Linked DNA regions of Lepisosteus oculatus. Each later gene encodes a partner of the first gene's protein in a complex. Links are inferred from orthologs where the notes say so. Each region holds a gene or a part of one and is shown on either strand. Other genes may lie near its edges. The genes, in order: adat3 and adat2.

Evidence for each region.
Region 2: the proteins of adat3 (region 1) and adat2 are in contact, whole or in part, in a crystal structure (PDB 9HMM), measured with the Mus musculus proteins. The link is inferred for Lepisosteus oculatus from reciprocal best matches to the Homo sapiens genes ADAT3 and ADAT2. Residues at the interface, in NP_001094076.1 of Mus musculus: Val217, Ala218, Pro220, Leu221, His223, Ile229, Asp230, Ala233, Gln236, Gly237, Glu270, Ser272, Pro274, Val276, Val290, Met291, Met294, Ala295, His298, Ala299, Pro311, Asp312, Leu318, Phe319, Val321, Arg324, Asp326, Leu327, Asn328, Pro349; in NP_080024.3 of Mus musculus: Val62, Asn63, Lys66, Asn67, Ala68, Thr69, His71, Met74, Ile77, Leu81, His85, Pro91, Cys107, Ile108, Met109, Ala112, Ala113, Leu116, Met117, Arg130, Phe131, Val137, Leu138, Ile140, Asp144, Leu145, Pro146, Asn147, Thr148.

The regions. Positions count from the first base shown.
Region 1 is NC_090707.1:20,772,823-20,780,753, forward strand, and holds adat3 (probable inactive tRNA-specific adenosine deaminase-like protein 3), read left to right. Parts: upstream 1-4,346; 5' UTR 4,347-4,500; intron 4,501-5,252; 5' UTR 5,253-5,258; coding exon 5,259-6,380; 3' UTR 6,381-6,844; downstream 6,845-7,931. Other genes in the region: osgepl1 (tRNA N6-adenosine threonylcarbamoyltransferase, mitochondrial), read right to left, coding at 2-150, 338-542, 1,085-1,472, 3,765-4,024; ormdl1 (ORM1-like protein 1), read right to left, coding at 7,848-7,931.
Region 2 is NC_090697.1:18,898,377-18,906,667, forward strand, and holds the start of adat2 (tRNA-specific adenosine deaminase 2), read left to right. Parts: upstream 1-4,906; 5' UTR 4,907-4,928; intron 4,929-5,057; coding exon of another isoform or gene 5,058-5,130; exon of another isoform or gene 5,131-5,143; intron 5,144-5,240; exon of another isoform or gene 5,241-5,331; intron 5,332-5,789; exon of another isoform or gene 5,790-5,807; coding exon of another isoform or gene 5,808-5,821; coding exon 5,822-5,929; intron 5,930-6,651; coding exon 6,652-6,756; intron 6,757-7,181; coding exon 7,182-7,332; intron 7,333-8,024; coding exon 8,025-8,131; intron 8,132-8,291. Other genes in the region: pex3 (peroxisomal biogenesis factor 3), read right to left, coding at 397-518, 1,045-1,088, 1,198-1,279, 4,569-4,700, 4,827-4,902. UniProt on the Homo sapiens protein: Probably participates in deamination of adenosine-34 to inosine in many tRNAs.

The DNA.
Region 1 (7,931 bases):
CCAGAGTGGGGCTGTTTTGGGGCAACAGTCCCTTGGCTTTACAGAACAGTATCGCACGATGGGTGCGCTTTGCGATATGGGAAGCCACAGTGTGCTGCACTGCAGCAGCAATGTCATTAGCACAGGACAACATCTGACCCATTTGTACACCTGCAATAAAGGCACATCTGTTTAACACCCTTCAGGGACCGAAGCCTTGTTCTGCTTTTCAAATAGGATGTAGTCCACAGCAGGAGTAACCACTCCTGTTACTAATTCAACTAAGAGGTGGCATAAACTAGAAATTTTTCACAAACTGGAGAAATCTCAGGTTTACCACAAAGAAAAGCTTGCTTACCTTCCCCCTCTTCCTTTTTGATAATGACCTGAGTCACTTGGTTCCGAAGACCAGCAAAGGAAAAGTTGCAGTCCAAATGTTGGCCCATGGGTGACTTCAAGTAAAACTTTAGCCTGTCGCCTTGTTTAGCTAAATGCTCAATGGCCTGGCCACCACTTAAAGTGGAGCACTCTGGGTGTTTAATGAGGGATAGTCTTCTTGCTACCTGTCAATGACAACTGGGTTATTCAGTTTAGTGAATAATTTATGAATGTTTCAGCAATGTATATAGGAATAGAGTCAGGGTATAAACATTACCAAAACAGACAAAAGAAAAAACACATCTGAAAAAACATACAGATATTGTTCTGTGTACTTCTACTATTGTATAAATAAATATGCTCTTTTATTTTCCCTTCAGCATGGAATAAACCTTTACCTTTTCCTTTGCAACTTGCTCATGCTGAAGCAAAATATGAATTTCTTAAGTACAAATATTTGTTCACGACAGTAATGTACAGGGGCCACCGATGCTTCATCTTCTTTCCAATAACATAGAAAAACTGCAATGGAGAACATCCAGACAGACCCCTCACAAAGGAAAAGATGAATGTTCTTTATATTTGCCATTAATACTGCATTCTTTGGAAATATTTGAGCTGTTTATCAGTGCAGGTAAGTGGACTTACAGTTTTGAAACCACTTACACAATGCTCAAAAAATCCTCAACAGACCCTTTCTGAGAGCACATTCAAAATTTTTACGTACTTTATCTAAAGTGTCTCCTGGCGCTTCATCCAGTGATTGTCCCAGGAGAAGAAAGTCATCGATTCCATTAGCCACTGCCAGTAGACAGTGACCCCCAGACACCAGGAGCACGAGGAATGGGAACTGGACAGAGTGAATCATTCTGACAGTCAGTGCATGGGCTTCCATGTGGTGGATTGGGATGAATGGCTTTTTATACTGCTGTACGAATTTCAGACTGTACTCCAGGCCCACCCCGAGGCTCAGTGCTAGACCCGGTTTTACTGTGGTTGCAACAGCAGATAGCTCGTTTGGTGTAACTCCACTCATGGCCAAGGCCTGCTGGATCACTGTCGTTATGTGTTCCCTGTGCAGTCGTTGGGCCACTGTTGGAATGATCCCACCTGTTCTAAAGCAAAATATACACATGCATACAAATGACACCACTATTACTATTGCACATATTGTTACACCACAGTTTTGACCTGTAAACCATATTTAATACAGAAAGGAAATCTGAAGTAAGAAATGAGGGGGAAGGTGAATTTGTATTTAAAAAAATTCTGATTTACAAAGTTTTGTTATGGTGTATATGTAGTTACATAGTAAGAATAAAATGATATTATATAGAACCTATAAAAGTAATCATCTCAAAGCACTTTACAAAAATTGGCAAAAAAGCATAAAACATCACAAAATGTGTTTCTATAAAAGTTGGTTTTCAGGCTGGATTAAAAAGCACCCAATGTGGGACAGTCACTGATGTCTTTTAAGATAGTGGTCCAGAGCTTAGGAGCCATAGAAGGTCCTGTCACCCACAGAGTGTAGACGAACAATAGAAACACCCAGTAAACCAGAATCTCATGAGTGAAGGTTGCGTTGAGGGGAGTGAACAGATAACATATTGGCTAGATGCTGACTAGTTATACCATGTACATCCTTGATTGTGAGTAAGAAGAATTTTACAATCATCTTGAAACCTGGATTTTAAAACCATACTTGTGTGATGTGCACATGTGTGACATAGTTATTTCCAAATATGCTGTCATATCCTTGTAGGTATAGAGACTCTTCCGTGCAAGGCTTTGCAATACTCCAATCTTTGCATGTACAAACACATAAACCAGTTACAGACACACACAGAAAGTAGCCTGGGAATTTTTCTAAAAAAAAACAGACATTTATACAGTATTCTGCCCATGAGGTCTCAAAGTCCATCCAGAATTAAGGATCCCCATCAAAATCTTGCGTGAAACTCAAGCACAGTGCTGTCAACTGACAATTGTTACAGCACTGGTTTTATGTACCTGATGGGAACAATGACCTCTGTCTTTTCACAATTATGATGCAAAACATTTTGTTGCATCTAAACATTTATTACAGAAATGTAATTGGAGAGTACTGAAACTTGGTATCAGGATTAGTCTGGACATAAAATGAATTATATTCTGCATAGAAATGATAATTCAAACCATGTAATTTTAATGTTTAACTTAGAGTAAGCATATAAATATTAAACAGGAAATGGCTCATTTCTAATTCTACTTCATTTCAATTCCTGTGTAACACCAGACTAACCAACCAAACACGAGACCTAAAACCACCAAGAGAAAAATTCAAAGCTTATCAAGGAAAGAATTAATCCGCTACGTCTAAAAGAATAAAGACCATCCAAAATCAATAGCCATGAAGAAAGAATAAGAATATTTAACAAGAACAGTTTCAATGCTAGTGTATATAGTTTTTTTTAAATCCAGACTGAAACAGTTTGTAAAATGTACAGTGAGACCACCAGTTGCACTGCAAGAGCATGTTCTAATATTTCACAAGAAAAGGCAAAGCTGATGTGTGTCAGAAATTATTAAGACCACTAGGTCTGGTGGGTACAGTACCTGGTGTAACTGTAGTGCACTGGATGTCAGGAAATCATTTCTGAGGTTATTAGCAGGAAGGGTCATAGAGCAGAGAAACAGAAGTGCAATAAAACAAAGGGAATGAGTGGAGACAAGGACAACACAGTGGAGGAGAGGTTAGCATTGCTGCCTCGCAGTGCTGGGACCCTGGATCCAATTCTGGACCTGTGGTGCTATCTATGTGGAGTTTGTATGTTTCCCTGTAGGTGATCCAGTTTCCTTACAATACTGATGGGTTAATTGGATTCTGTGAATATTGACACTAATGTACATGTGTGTGTTTGTGTCTGTCCATTGGACTGGCATCTCGTCCAGGATGTACCATGTGTTGTGTTTGTTGCTTGCCTGGATAGGGTCAGGCTCCCCTGTGACCCTGGATTACAAGAAGCAGTTAGAAAATGAATGTAATGGGGAACAGAAGACGGATTTTATATGTGATGCCACTTGAGTATGACGTGCAGGAAGTGAGCTGCAAAAAGTGAGAAAAAGGAGAACCAGAAAAGTTAGGCATACAAGCAAGCAGTGCTCTATGCAAGAGTTGAGAATTGGTAATGGTTTATATATAAGCTTAGTTTAAATAGAAAAACATTACATACAAATTATAGTGGAAATTATTGTTTTCATTAATATTTTATCATATTTTATGAAGAATTTTTTTGTTTTTATGTGTAATTCTATTGGTAATAGATGGGTAAAATCCCTTCTTTAGGCAACTTTTGAAATGAGAAATTGTTCAGTTGACAGCCTGTGTCAATTGTTTCAAGGTCAGAATAAGGTGATGCACCTACTTCAAATGCACTTCTTTCTGAGAATATAAAGATTCTCCGAGGACTGAACCGGTCTCATCCATCACGGCGGCTCCTGTGTCATCACAGCTGGTTTCTACACCTAAAACGACTCGATGGTGGCTAACCGTACGAATACATGTAGTTCTGTATGAAGCCCAAGAAAGCACTTCTTTTAGTTTCCATTGATGAGGTTCAGTAACAGTAGCTCTTTGAAAAGCCAAGCCACACAATCGTGCACCGAAACAAGATAACAGTGACATGAGTTATATAATATAACATACGCTACTCATTATTTTAATACGACCGTGACTATTTCTTTTCTCCGATCCTTAATTCCATTAATTCTCACAACCTCTCATGCGTCCAGCGGCAATTAGTCCCCCGTGTAAATATTTCCCATTAGAAACAAACACCGAAATGCGCGTTCCATTTGCGTTGCCTGTACTGTTTTTAGAATTTTCAAATAAATATATTGACCATCCGACGTAATTTTATGATAGGTTCTTTTTTAACTAAAAATCATCCGAAAGTTAGGAGCGGAAAATTAATACTATACAGGAACCAAAGATGTGTACCAATTGTTGCCGGAAGGGCACATTATACACGTGCAACAGTGAGAACGTGAAAGGGATTGTAGCCATAAAATACATCTACTTTTTGAAATTATGACCTCTTTTTTTGATTTTCTGTGTTGAATCCGTTTCGGTATTGCTTTTTGTTTTTAGGGTGTATATAGGTAAGTTAATGGTAAAACTGAAAAAAGCTTCTACAAACAATTTTTAAACTCGTACTTCGTAGGAGCATCTGAACAGCAATTGCATATTACATTTTATTATTTAAATTGAAACTTGTTTATAACCCTTTAGACTTAATATAATGTTTGTGTTAATTGAATTTGTAATAAAAAACGTTTTAGATTTAGTTGAGATTTGAAGACGTTAAGACTAAATATTTTGTATGTGCATATTTATAAACTTATACTGGGTCTTATGGTACATTATAAGTATTTTTGTCTTACGTGAAATTATTTTATAGAAGTTTAATTTTTAGTGTCTACGTAGTACAGGAACTATATAGGAGAAAGACGGTAATGACAAAATATGAGGTTTTATTCGTTGTTAAAATAACATTTGCTGAAGTTTAGAAAAAGGATCCCGTGATTTGAACTAAACATAAATTTGTAAAATGCAGCATTTTAGATATTTTTTAGGACATCAGTATATATTACCATTTACATAAACATAAATATACAATATGATAAGCCCAGTTGTGTTGTTTTTAAATTTAAGGCAAAAATGGGCTTTGTCCATGACTCAGTCGTGAAATTGGTCTACATGTAAAGAAAATTCCTTTGGCAGATTGTAGATATTCATATCGGGATTTTATAAAGGAAGAAAGTCAGCAAACTCTCAGCATAATGTACTGCTTCCTTGCCCAACATTTTGCATTTCTGCTTCTTAAGAGTTTAAGCATCCCTTGTTTTGACAGGTTTTAATGGAACCACAGTGCAAACGCAGAAAAACAGAAGGTGAAGTGATGGCCTGGGCCATCTTACCTGTTCTTTCTGATGAGCAGTCCCAAGACATTGATTTACTGGAAGCCTATGCTGTGCCTATTCTTGATAAGAGAGAAACCTCTCGTCTTGTGAAGGAGCTGAGTGCCATATACCCCTTACAAGGCCTGAACCATATTAAGAGGGTACGTGCATGCAAAGACAAAGAAAGCCCACATCCTTTGGAAATGATTTTGTGTCTGGCGAGAGATATTGGACACAGTCGAAAAAACCAAGAGCTGTCTATCTCTGCTCTTTTGTCTAATGCCACTGTGGACAGCAGGGGTTTAGGTGAACCATTTATAGTGAAAATACCAGCATGTCCTCCTTTGACTAGACCTCAGTTTGAAAAAGCCAGCAGGCACTGGCCCACTTCCTTCCATGAAGACAAACAGGTTACAGTGGCACTGAATGGGGAGCTGTTTACTGCTGCTCAGAAAACAAAGATGGAGACGTACATGAAGTTGGCTATTACAGCAGCAAAAATCGGACAAGGAGAAGGCATGGAAGCTGTAGGTGCTGTTGTTGTTGATCCGGAGGAGGAGAGAGTCCTTGCTGTGGGCCATGACTGCAGGAATAGTCCTCACCCTTTGCTTCATGCTGTTATGGTATGCATTGACCTTGTGGCACATGGCCAAGGTGGTGGGGCTTATAGTTATGATAAGTACACTGCCTGTTGTTTCTTTAAAGTAGATAACTCGAAAGATCAGGCTAAAAGTAGCTGTCTGCCCTCCAAGGACATGTATATCTCAGAGCAGTCAAAGGAGAGTGGGTTGCCATATATTTGCACTGGTTATGATCTGTATGTAACAAGAGAACCATGTGTAATGTGTGCAATGGCTCTGGTTCACTCTAGAATACAGAGGGTCTTCTATGGAACTGCATCATTAGATGGAGCGTTAGGAACCAAATACAAAATTCATACCCAGAAAGATCTGAATCACCGTTTTGAAGTTTTTAAAGGAATTATGGAACAGGATTGTGTAAAGCTCACTACATTGCATCAATTAAATCATGTTCCAGTAGACTCACTGGATATGGATTTGGTTTTGGAGACATTGTAACCAATTCTGTGCTAGATTTGAGTTAACAACTTTCACATTTCTGTTAAATCATATAGAGAGATGCAGATGCACAAAAAACAGGTGTAAGTTTGCTAGGTAGGATGTGTTACTGCTGTGAAGTCACTGTATTTTTTAAAGATGAAACATTTTTTAGAAACTCATTTTTAAGCCCTTTGGTATGGACCCAATTGAAGTTATATTCTTTTTCAAATGTATGAATGTGCATGTTTCTTTTTTGTCTCTTAGAATAATGAGTTATTTAGAACTAAAATCTTTTTTTAACTGTTACTTATTTTGTTTTATCCAGTGAATAGTAAAACAGTTTGTCTATTTCTGTCTAAGTTTTCTTTTCTAAGTAATCTTAGAAAGAGGCTGTTCTTAAATGTATAGTGACTCTTAACAGAACAAACCAAAGTGCCTGAGACTGATGCCTCTTTACAAAAATAAAATTATTCATAACCATACTTCTTTGGATGCCATATTTTATGTAATGAGTCCATATTCAGCAGAGCTTTACCATAAACAAAGAAATACACTAATTTCTTGAAGGGCACAAATGATTTTATTGTCATAAGTAAACAGGCTGTTGAAAAGCTCCAAGAACACCTTGGATGAGCAGACCTGCAAGGGCTAGCTGCCTCAGCAATAACGAAGAGCTTTAAAAAGGTCCATAAACATGTCTTACAAACATACAGCCACATAAGTTTCAAAAATACAACATTTTCAGTTAAAGTCTTCTGAAAGAACAGTGCTTTAAAAGAAATCTTGAATCCAAGTTCACCCTTAAGAATTGAAACTTATAGTCTTACACAAAACTAAAAATTTGCTTACATTGTTCTGTAGACAGAAAATGTATTTTTTTAAATTTTCTAACAATGTGTACAGACAATTCAGTCAGTGGAAAAAAAAAACATGCAAAACAAATTGTTTCCTCCATAATTTAAGCCCTAATGAGCAAAGTAACAACATTAAATAAAAACAGCATCATCTTAAGTTGAATCACAGGCCCTTATTCAAATGAACAAATGATCTGTAAAAAGTATATTTTCCGTGGCTTGTGGGCAGAGTGCCTCTCTCAAAGATTAATCTGAATGGACTCTTCAGTACCAGCACCATTCTGGATGCAGTGGGCAAAGACCCCAAGCAACAAACACTACACTTCATGAAAATGCTTCAAGTCTAAGAACGGGGCCTGCCCAGTTCTTTAAAGAAATCCAGCGTTAAATAGTCATTTAAGTTAGTAATGCACATGTAAGTGCAGTAATGCATTTGCCTCTTACAAAGTCCCTGACATGTTTTTTCCAAATGCATTTAAAGAATGAAAGTGGCAAATAGACACTGTACAAAACTGCTTAGTACACACTACTGGGGTACAATGTACAGCAGGTTACCAATTCATCTCGCCATGTAAAAACAATATCTAATTGGAGCATTGGTCACAAAATGGCAACTTTTAGACACTCCAGTTTAATATTTGTTGATGCCAAAGATTCGGACTCCATGTAACTGCGGCAATTTTGGGATAAGCACACTTAAAAGAGAAGCTGTGTT
Region 2 (8,291 bases), on another chromosome or scaffold:
TAGATGTGTCAACAGACCTGACACTACAAAAATAGCGTTATAAGTGTGATGCATGCAGCTTGGCACCCCTGCTGGGATCTGATCAGACCTTTCATAGGCATCTGGCTTCAGGACCACTGAGTGTCACTTTGCCAGACAGTAAAGAATCATGCAGCCTCCCTCCACAGGTAGGTTTAATGCTATACAGGTCTAAAGGGGATAACATTGCATTATGTAACAGGTTCAGTGATAAACAAGCCCTCTCATCCAAGCATATTACACAGTATGTGGGGTTGAGAAACATCTGTAGCAACACAAATTTGTGAAAGGGTACCAAAGGACAAATCAATCCAGTGCTGTGTTCTCGACATGCCTTAGGTCCATACCGGAGGCTCTGCTTCACAAAAGAATACCTACCGTTCCATTCTTGCTGACAGAGTTATCTAGGTATATGTAACCCCCAATGATGTTGAGCTGAACTCGTAGAAGAATAACCAGCATGCAGGTGCTGTAAACGGCTACTATGCTTCTAGCGAAACCTGGCAGAGAGTGGGAAAAGGAAATTAACCCCAGACTGTCAAACTCAATCGGGGAATAAGTGTCATTTCAGATTTTAAGGAATCGAAGGCAGACAGAAAAAAACCCTTCTAGTGCTGTAGGCTACAGCACGCCTGCTCAGTACAGCCAACGACAAGCCCAGTCATTCAGCCTCAGTGCTTAGCTGAGGAGCTCATGGTGTGAAGCTACCATCTGTGGCATTATAACCGAACAATTCTAATTCAGAACCCCCCTTAAAAAGTCATTCAACATTCCTTAACTTTGTACTAATAACAACAAAAGCTACAATTTAAAGTAAAATCTTCTGTATGTTACTGTCCACACCCCAACCTGTTTTACCAAGATGGGCCAAACAGAGTCCTCTCATGTAATGTAGCATTAGCATTCTTCAGAAACAGAATATGTAACTCTTTGTACAATCGTGTAGGAGCAGTAAAATTCAGTAATTGTACAATACTTACAACATAATAATAATACCCAGTATTAAATAGAAAGAATGGAACTTACTGATTATCTTCAGATCTTCCCAGATTTCTAACTTATTTGCTGGCCTAAAACAGAAAACAATAGCTTTTTATCATCTGCATGACAAGAACATTGTCAGCCCTGTTATGCGCTTTACTCATTTTTAAACAAAATGACACATCTTGAATTACTCACTTGTTCTTTAGCAAAGCTGTGAGGCTTTCTGAATGCAGGTGTTGTATAATGGCATCTCTTAGAGTTGGGAGCATTGATAACACTGACAACAAAAAAAGACAAAGCAATATGGTAACAACGTGGAAAGCAAATGTATTTTCCTGGGAAAAATCTTATGCCAAATTTCCCAGGGTCACAAACCTTGGCTAGACTAATATTCCTCTTAAAAATATACATAGTAATAATTCTTATATAGTGCTTTCAATATAAAAAAATTACAAATCACATCAAGAACATAAGAACATAATGATCCAAGAATCTCATCCAGTTGTTTCTTGAAAAAAAAAAAAAAAAGTATTGACTTCAACCACATGGCTGGATAACCATGTTACCATACTCCAAAAACCCTGGATGTAAAGAACTGCTTGTTGTTATTAGTTTTAAATGCACTTTCATGCAGTTACCACTTATGTCTTCCAGTCCATGTTTCACTGCTCTTTCAGAAAACAAAATCCACTGAGTTGACTTTTGTCAGTGCCTTTGAGGATTTTGAATAATTGTTGATACTCCCCTAGTCTTTTCTGTGCTAGTGTGGTGTATTTCCTTAAGCCCTGGAACGTACCTAGTTGCTCTTCTCTGGACGGATTCCAGAGCAGCTATATCTTTTCTACAGCATGGTGACAAAAAAATGTACACAATATTCTAAATGTAGGCTTACTAGTGTGTACAGAATATGGGGTACTTGCCCTACTGGTGTGTTAACACAGTTTAGACATTAAGTTTAGGATGGAGGGACTGTGGAAGCCTAGATAAAATTTAGCCAGAGCATCAGGGCGAGCAACTCTAGTCTTATGAACATCTTTAATGTTTCAAGGATGGCACATACTGTACAACAGCACAGTGTCCCCTGTCCCCTTACCAGAGCGCTGCAAATTCTGGTCAACAGGGAGGTGAGAGTGCCATCTAGTGGCCCACCCACAGCACTTAGAGCAGTAACCTGCTGTACAACCTACTGTGGTCAGCTTTAGAGCTGAGGTTCCCAGCTCTGCCTGGGGAACACTCTCTCTTCTTGTTTCTACTACATTCCAGTCCTTAATCATAGTGTCCCTGCTTGAGGAATTCTGGACCAGCGACACAGATAATAATGGATCAAAATCCGTGACAGTACAGGTCAGAAGATGAGCACCATTCCCGGTAAAGCACTACTCTGGAGGCACTGATTTATTTATAAATTTGCTTTCAAATCTTTTTAAAGGCCACATAGGATTGGGAATTGATACCAGTGCAGCACCAGTTCCTGGGTTTCACAACTGCCTGCTTTCCGGTGCGTTATCTGAGAGGAGCCAACTAAAGAAGGAAATGCAGCTAACCGTGAGAGTGGCTGCTGATCAGAAACTGACTGCATGTTAAGTGCTGTTTCGACAGAAATAAGGCTCAGCAAGGTGAGGAGAGGCAGCTTAACATTCTGTCTGCTGAAGATACTGCAGATACTCAGCACTGGAGATGTCGAGCTCAGATGGAATGAAAGCCCTGACTTTGAAGTCTTTCAGCCTGGTTCTGAGTAAGCCTGGCCGTGCTTAGCTTCTGAGATCAGGCTAGAAGTTTGTAACTCTGCTGTTATGCGCGTCAGTTAGTCTTCGTAATTTGAATGCACAGCAATTGAGAACGTGTGCTTTGATCAGGTTTGTACGTTAATTGGTTCAGCTGAGGCACTGTGGTTGTTGAGAACTACAAGGACACATTGTAGATAAGGATGCATTGGGATATTCATTTTTTTCATTTATGTTTACTACACTACCTAACCAAACAAATCACCTGCTTAAGTGGTCAAAACAAATTTGTCCTATGTTCACCACAGCTCAATACACTGTGAGCAAGTACAAGCAGTACAAGCATGGGTAGTTCCCATGGAGTTGAGAATTGCTAACATAGGGCCCATTGTTTAAAAACAGAACCAAGTAATTACAGACCAATAAGTCTGACCTTTATTGCATATGAAGTTAGTTAAAAAAAATCTTACTAAATTAGACAACCACTTACATGGGAAAATAATTACAGATAGTCTAGAAAATTAGTTTTTTCTTTGCTAACTCGTTAGAGATAGTTGAATAATGAACAAAAGTAATCTACACACACAGAGAATATCATAGAATATTTATGCTGTCAGGTTTTTTATCCATAAGTTACCCATTAATGTTTAATTTTCAAATTATAGGTAGTAGGCATTCTGTGAAATGTGTGTATTTGCATTGAGAACTGGTTAATAGAAAACAGAGAGGGAGTAAATGATAGGGAGTAAAGGCTAAAATTGGGGTGATGCAATTATAACACTATAGGGTCTGTACTAGGAATACAGCTCTTCCAAAGTTATATCATCTATCTAGTTTCTGTATAGTGAGTAAACTGATCAGGTTTGCAGATGCAACCAAAGTAGTACGGTTTGCAAATACTAGATAAGCAAATATAATTAAAATAAGATTCAGATAAAAAACAAAACTGGGCAAATATCTGGCAGGTGATATATAATGTAGACAAGTGCAGAATACTACCTGCGCATAGTAAAAATCTCAACTCGAAATACAAAAAGAGAAATGCTGAGTTAGAAGAGATTACTTCTGGCAGAAGACTGAAGTGTTTATGTAGACATCAATTACATCATCTAGGTAAGCGATAAAAAAGCATCAAAATATAAGAATAAATAATTAAAAGTAGGATTTGAATCAAAGCATGTTATGTTAAAACTACACAATGAACTAGTAAGGCTTAATTTTGAATATTATGTACAGTTTTGGTCAAGACATTACAAAAGAGATACTGCTGCTCTTGAATCCGTCCAGAGAAGAGCAACCAGATCCATTCTGGGGCTTACGGGAGTGTCCTACACTGACAGACTAAAAGAGCTTAACTTTTTTAGTCTTGAGCAGAAAAGACTACAAGGGGACTTGATCCTAGTACTCAGTCGCCAAATCACTGACAAAGCAACCCCAGTGGATTTCTTCAGAATCAACAAACAGACGGCACAAGTGGAAACTACGAGGAAGTATAAAACAAAAAACAGGAGGCACTTTTCCCCCAAAAGGTTGATGGAAACAAGCTAGCCAACCACACTGTTGAAGCTATTACCCCGGCTTCTTTCAAGAAATGGGTGGATATTATCCTCAGTTCAATCTCTCACCATACTGGCTGGAAGGGGCAAATGGCTTCCTTTCACTGGTAACCTTTCTTGTGTTATTTCTGTATACTATTGATACATATTAGATATTATTATATATTCAAATTTGAAGAAAAAAACGTTGAAGGATAACTGTGTGTAGCAGAGACACGGGATATTAGAATTAAGCTTAATCTTTGCTTATGTTTCTGGTGATGTGATGCAGGCATGTTGACGTTACCTGTCATGTTACACGTTCTTTGGTTACTTTCGAAGTGATACTGACGTCGGGCTTGCGCAATGTACTCTGCTGCTTCTCTCTCCTGAATTTCTCTGATTTTCCTCTGCGCATATTTACCCAGTAGGTAAACCCCTTCGAAAAAGAGAAAGAAAATAAATTAAATTGTACTGTATGTTATTGTCATCACTTAACTGACTTTATCACTGTTACTGTAACCTATATAATACAGATTTAACAGTACGCTAATGTAATACTTGCTTTTCCATCTTTGCAATTCACAACAGGCTTTGTCGACACCTGAAGAGCAAACTACTGTTGTCACCTCAGCAGGCATGACTTCTCGACACCTTCAGATACGGGGTGCTACATTATGATCAACTTTATGGGATACTAAGTACCTTTACCCTCGATATTACTGACGCTGCTAGTGGCGTAATGTGAATGACTAAAATGCAAATTTAAGACAACACGATACATGAAAATATTTACCTCCGACTAAAGCCCCTGCAAATATAAATTTTCTTTTATGACGTTTAAGGAAACTCCACGTGGACATAAACATTTCCTCCGACTTGAGGCAGATGCCAGACTACAGGTTTTTTCCGCGTTGACAGATTTATTTTCACAATCGTACATGAGAACTAGATAAGCTAAACACCGCTTACAACGCTCTGTACATCGGTGATCATCTAGCAATGCCTGCCCCACAAACAGTATCTACCCCCTGTGAAACTGCGACGAAACACAGGGTTCCGGTTTTATAGTAAGTAATGTGTAATGTGAAATACTGTTTCTCTCTTGGTTTTCATTTTTCTCCAATATACAGTTGAATGGTTCATTTACCACACTTCAAACACTTCGAGTTTATTAAAGTTTGACGTGTTAAATACATCTAAATGTATTATATATAAAGAAAAGTGTGTTAAAATTACGTGATTTCGTTTTAGTCGGTCGAAGTACTAACTGAATAAAACCTTTAAATATTTTCACCGTGCTTTTAAAATTGTTTTAGGTAAATCTGTTTTTAATAACAAACGTTAAACAACAACAGAGAGTCACTTTTATCAAATCTTGATAAAAACTGGATGCGTTTATCTCCTCACATTATACAGTATTAGTCTTTGGAGCCATTGACATGCCTTGTGTTTGATGTGTACTTCCAACTCACAGTTTTAACCCATTTAAGATTATTTCTACTCGATATTTTGTTAACCTTTTCAGAGTTTTTGTGTGTCAAACCTTTAGGGTAATCCATGATGGGGACGGAATATGAAGAAAGTTTTCCGGGCGAGAAAAGTACTAACCACTTTCAGCCCTCTTCGGAAGAAATACAGGGCTGGATGCAGAGAGCTTTCGATATGGTAAGAACGGTATTTATAGTACAGTATGCTCGCAATGCGTGTTTATCTGTTGTCTAAATAACTACTCAAACATCAATGGGCATAGTGTGAAAATATTTAATGTAATGTGATACAGCATGTTTGCTTTCTACAGTATAGTTTGTGCAATTTGATTTTTTCCTGGAACAAATTGTCTGTAAGAGATGGATTATTCCCTATCACTGTAGCCAAGAATGAAACAATAGAAGTCTGTATTTTTGTCTGAATTGGGGCAAGATGAACTGGTAGCAAGGAAAAAACAAACAAACTTTATAGCTCTTTCAATTTATAGCTCAAGATTTAAATTAATTGGAAACAATATCCAGGGTGGCTCTGTGGTTAGCATTGCTGCCCTGCAGTTCTAGGACCCCGGGCTCCTTGCTAGACCTGGAGTTCTCCCCTTGTTACTGTGAGTTTTCTTTCTGGTGCTCCAGTTTCCTCTCACAGACAAAGACCTACCCATAGATTAATTGGCTTCTGGCACAGTTGGCCCACGATATGAGTGTGTGTGTGTGTGTGTGTGTGTGTGTGTGTGTGTGTGTGTGTGTGCCTGGTGTCCTTGTCCTGGAGGTGTTCTTCCTTGTACCCACTGCCTACCAGGATAGGCTCTGGCTCCCTCACAACCCTGAATTGGACAACGCATTTAGAAAATGGATTGATGGATGGAAACAAGACCCTGACCCTTTGTTTTTGCAATTTTCCAGTCTAAAGAAGCCTTAGAGAATGGAGAGGTGCCTGTGGGATGTCTCATGGTGTACAACAATGAGATTTTGGGAAAAGGGAGAAATGAAGTCAACGAAACAAAAAACGTAAGTTCCACTTCCCATCCTCTAGGCTCATCCAGGCATTGATGCACATAATTTAAAAGTACTAGAGTGGAGAAGACAACTTGTCTGCTGTAGGATTATTTGTACTTGTAGCTCTTCACTGAGGATCAGTTTTTTTGTACTGCTGTTTTATGTCGTAAGAAAAATCATAGTTCTATTTCAGTGATATGCCTGTATATTCAGAAAATGGCAAATGGAAGTCATATGAGATTGGCGTAGGAACTCTGTGAGGCTCAAAGCTGAAATCTCCTGTGTTACTGGACTGGGATTTACATACATTTTGCCAGTGCGTCCAGTTAACATACACCTGTTAACATGAGAAAAGAAAGTTAATTAACTATTTGAAACTTAGAAACAAGATAGGGCTCTAGTAGTCCATTCACCTGTTTTTCCTTTGTGTGTTGCAGGCAACACGGCATGCAGAGATGGTAGCGTTGGACCAGGTACTGGAGTGGTGTCGTGACAATGGCAGGGATTCCAGAGAGGTGTTGGACCAGACTGTCCTGTATGTCACTGTGGAGCCGTGCATTATGTGTGCGGGAGCACTTCGTTTATTGAGTATCCTGCCCGACGCCTTTGAGTAACTCTTAAGTCTAGTCCAATCCAGACTGTTGTGATACACATCCCGCAAAATGCAAAAATTTACCACAATGATCCGGCTTAAAGTGAAACTGCTGATCCTTTATTCAAACAAAGGGATGGCTTCCTTTACTATTTAAGAATCCCTGCAAAAGTTATTCTCTGAGGACTATTATTTGTTATATCATTATTAAAGGAAGAAGAAAATCAAGTGTACTGAATGAAACTGTTTAGCGTTATGCTACATTATTAAGTTTATACGATATATTAAAACATTTGTGACTGCCTATAGACAGGTTATATTTTGCAGACATGCAGGAATTATCACATGAATTAAAGAAACTCATCTATAATATTACTGGTGGGAGACCAATTTACTTTTTTTGCAAGATTAGATGTTAAAAAAGGGTAGGAATTGCAGACCTTCAGTATTCCTTAATTTCACAAGTGGCACAACACCTAGTAAATTATACAGCAAATGGGAGATTTAAGAATACTTTTTTTTAGAGGGATTTGATAAGATTTAACTATAGTAGTTGTGTATACTAGTTGTGATAATACAGAAGAAAAAATAAAAGAGAAAATACATCATTTCTTAATTAAATTGTTAATATAGAGAATACAGACATTTTTGTTCCAGAAAAGTTTTAATGGCCTTAACATTTTAACAGAAATCCCACTAGTGGTTTATGGTTGCAAAAATGAGAGGTTTGGTGGCTGTGGGTCAGTGCTCAACATCCCTGAAGATGAATTACCACACACTGGAACACCATATAAGGTACAGTAGTCCATTTCCATTTTAATCTGGACTAAAAGTCCGATGGTCAATGATCTGGTATAAGAAATCTTTTTTGTCTGTGAATAATTTAATTTCAGTTATGATATGCTAAAACCAAAGGCAGTGGTTTCTGTGTTGCATAAAAATAGGAAAACCAGAA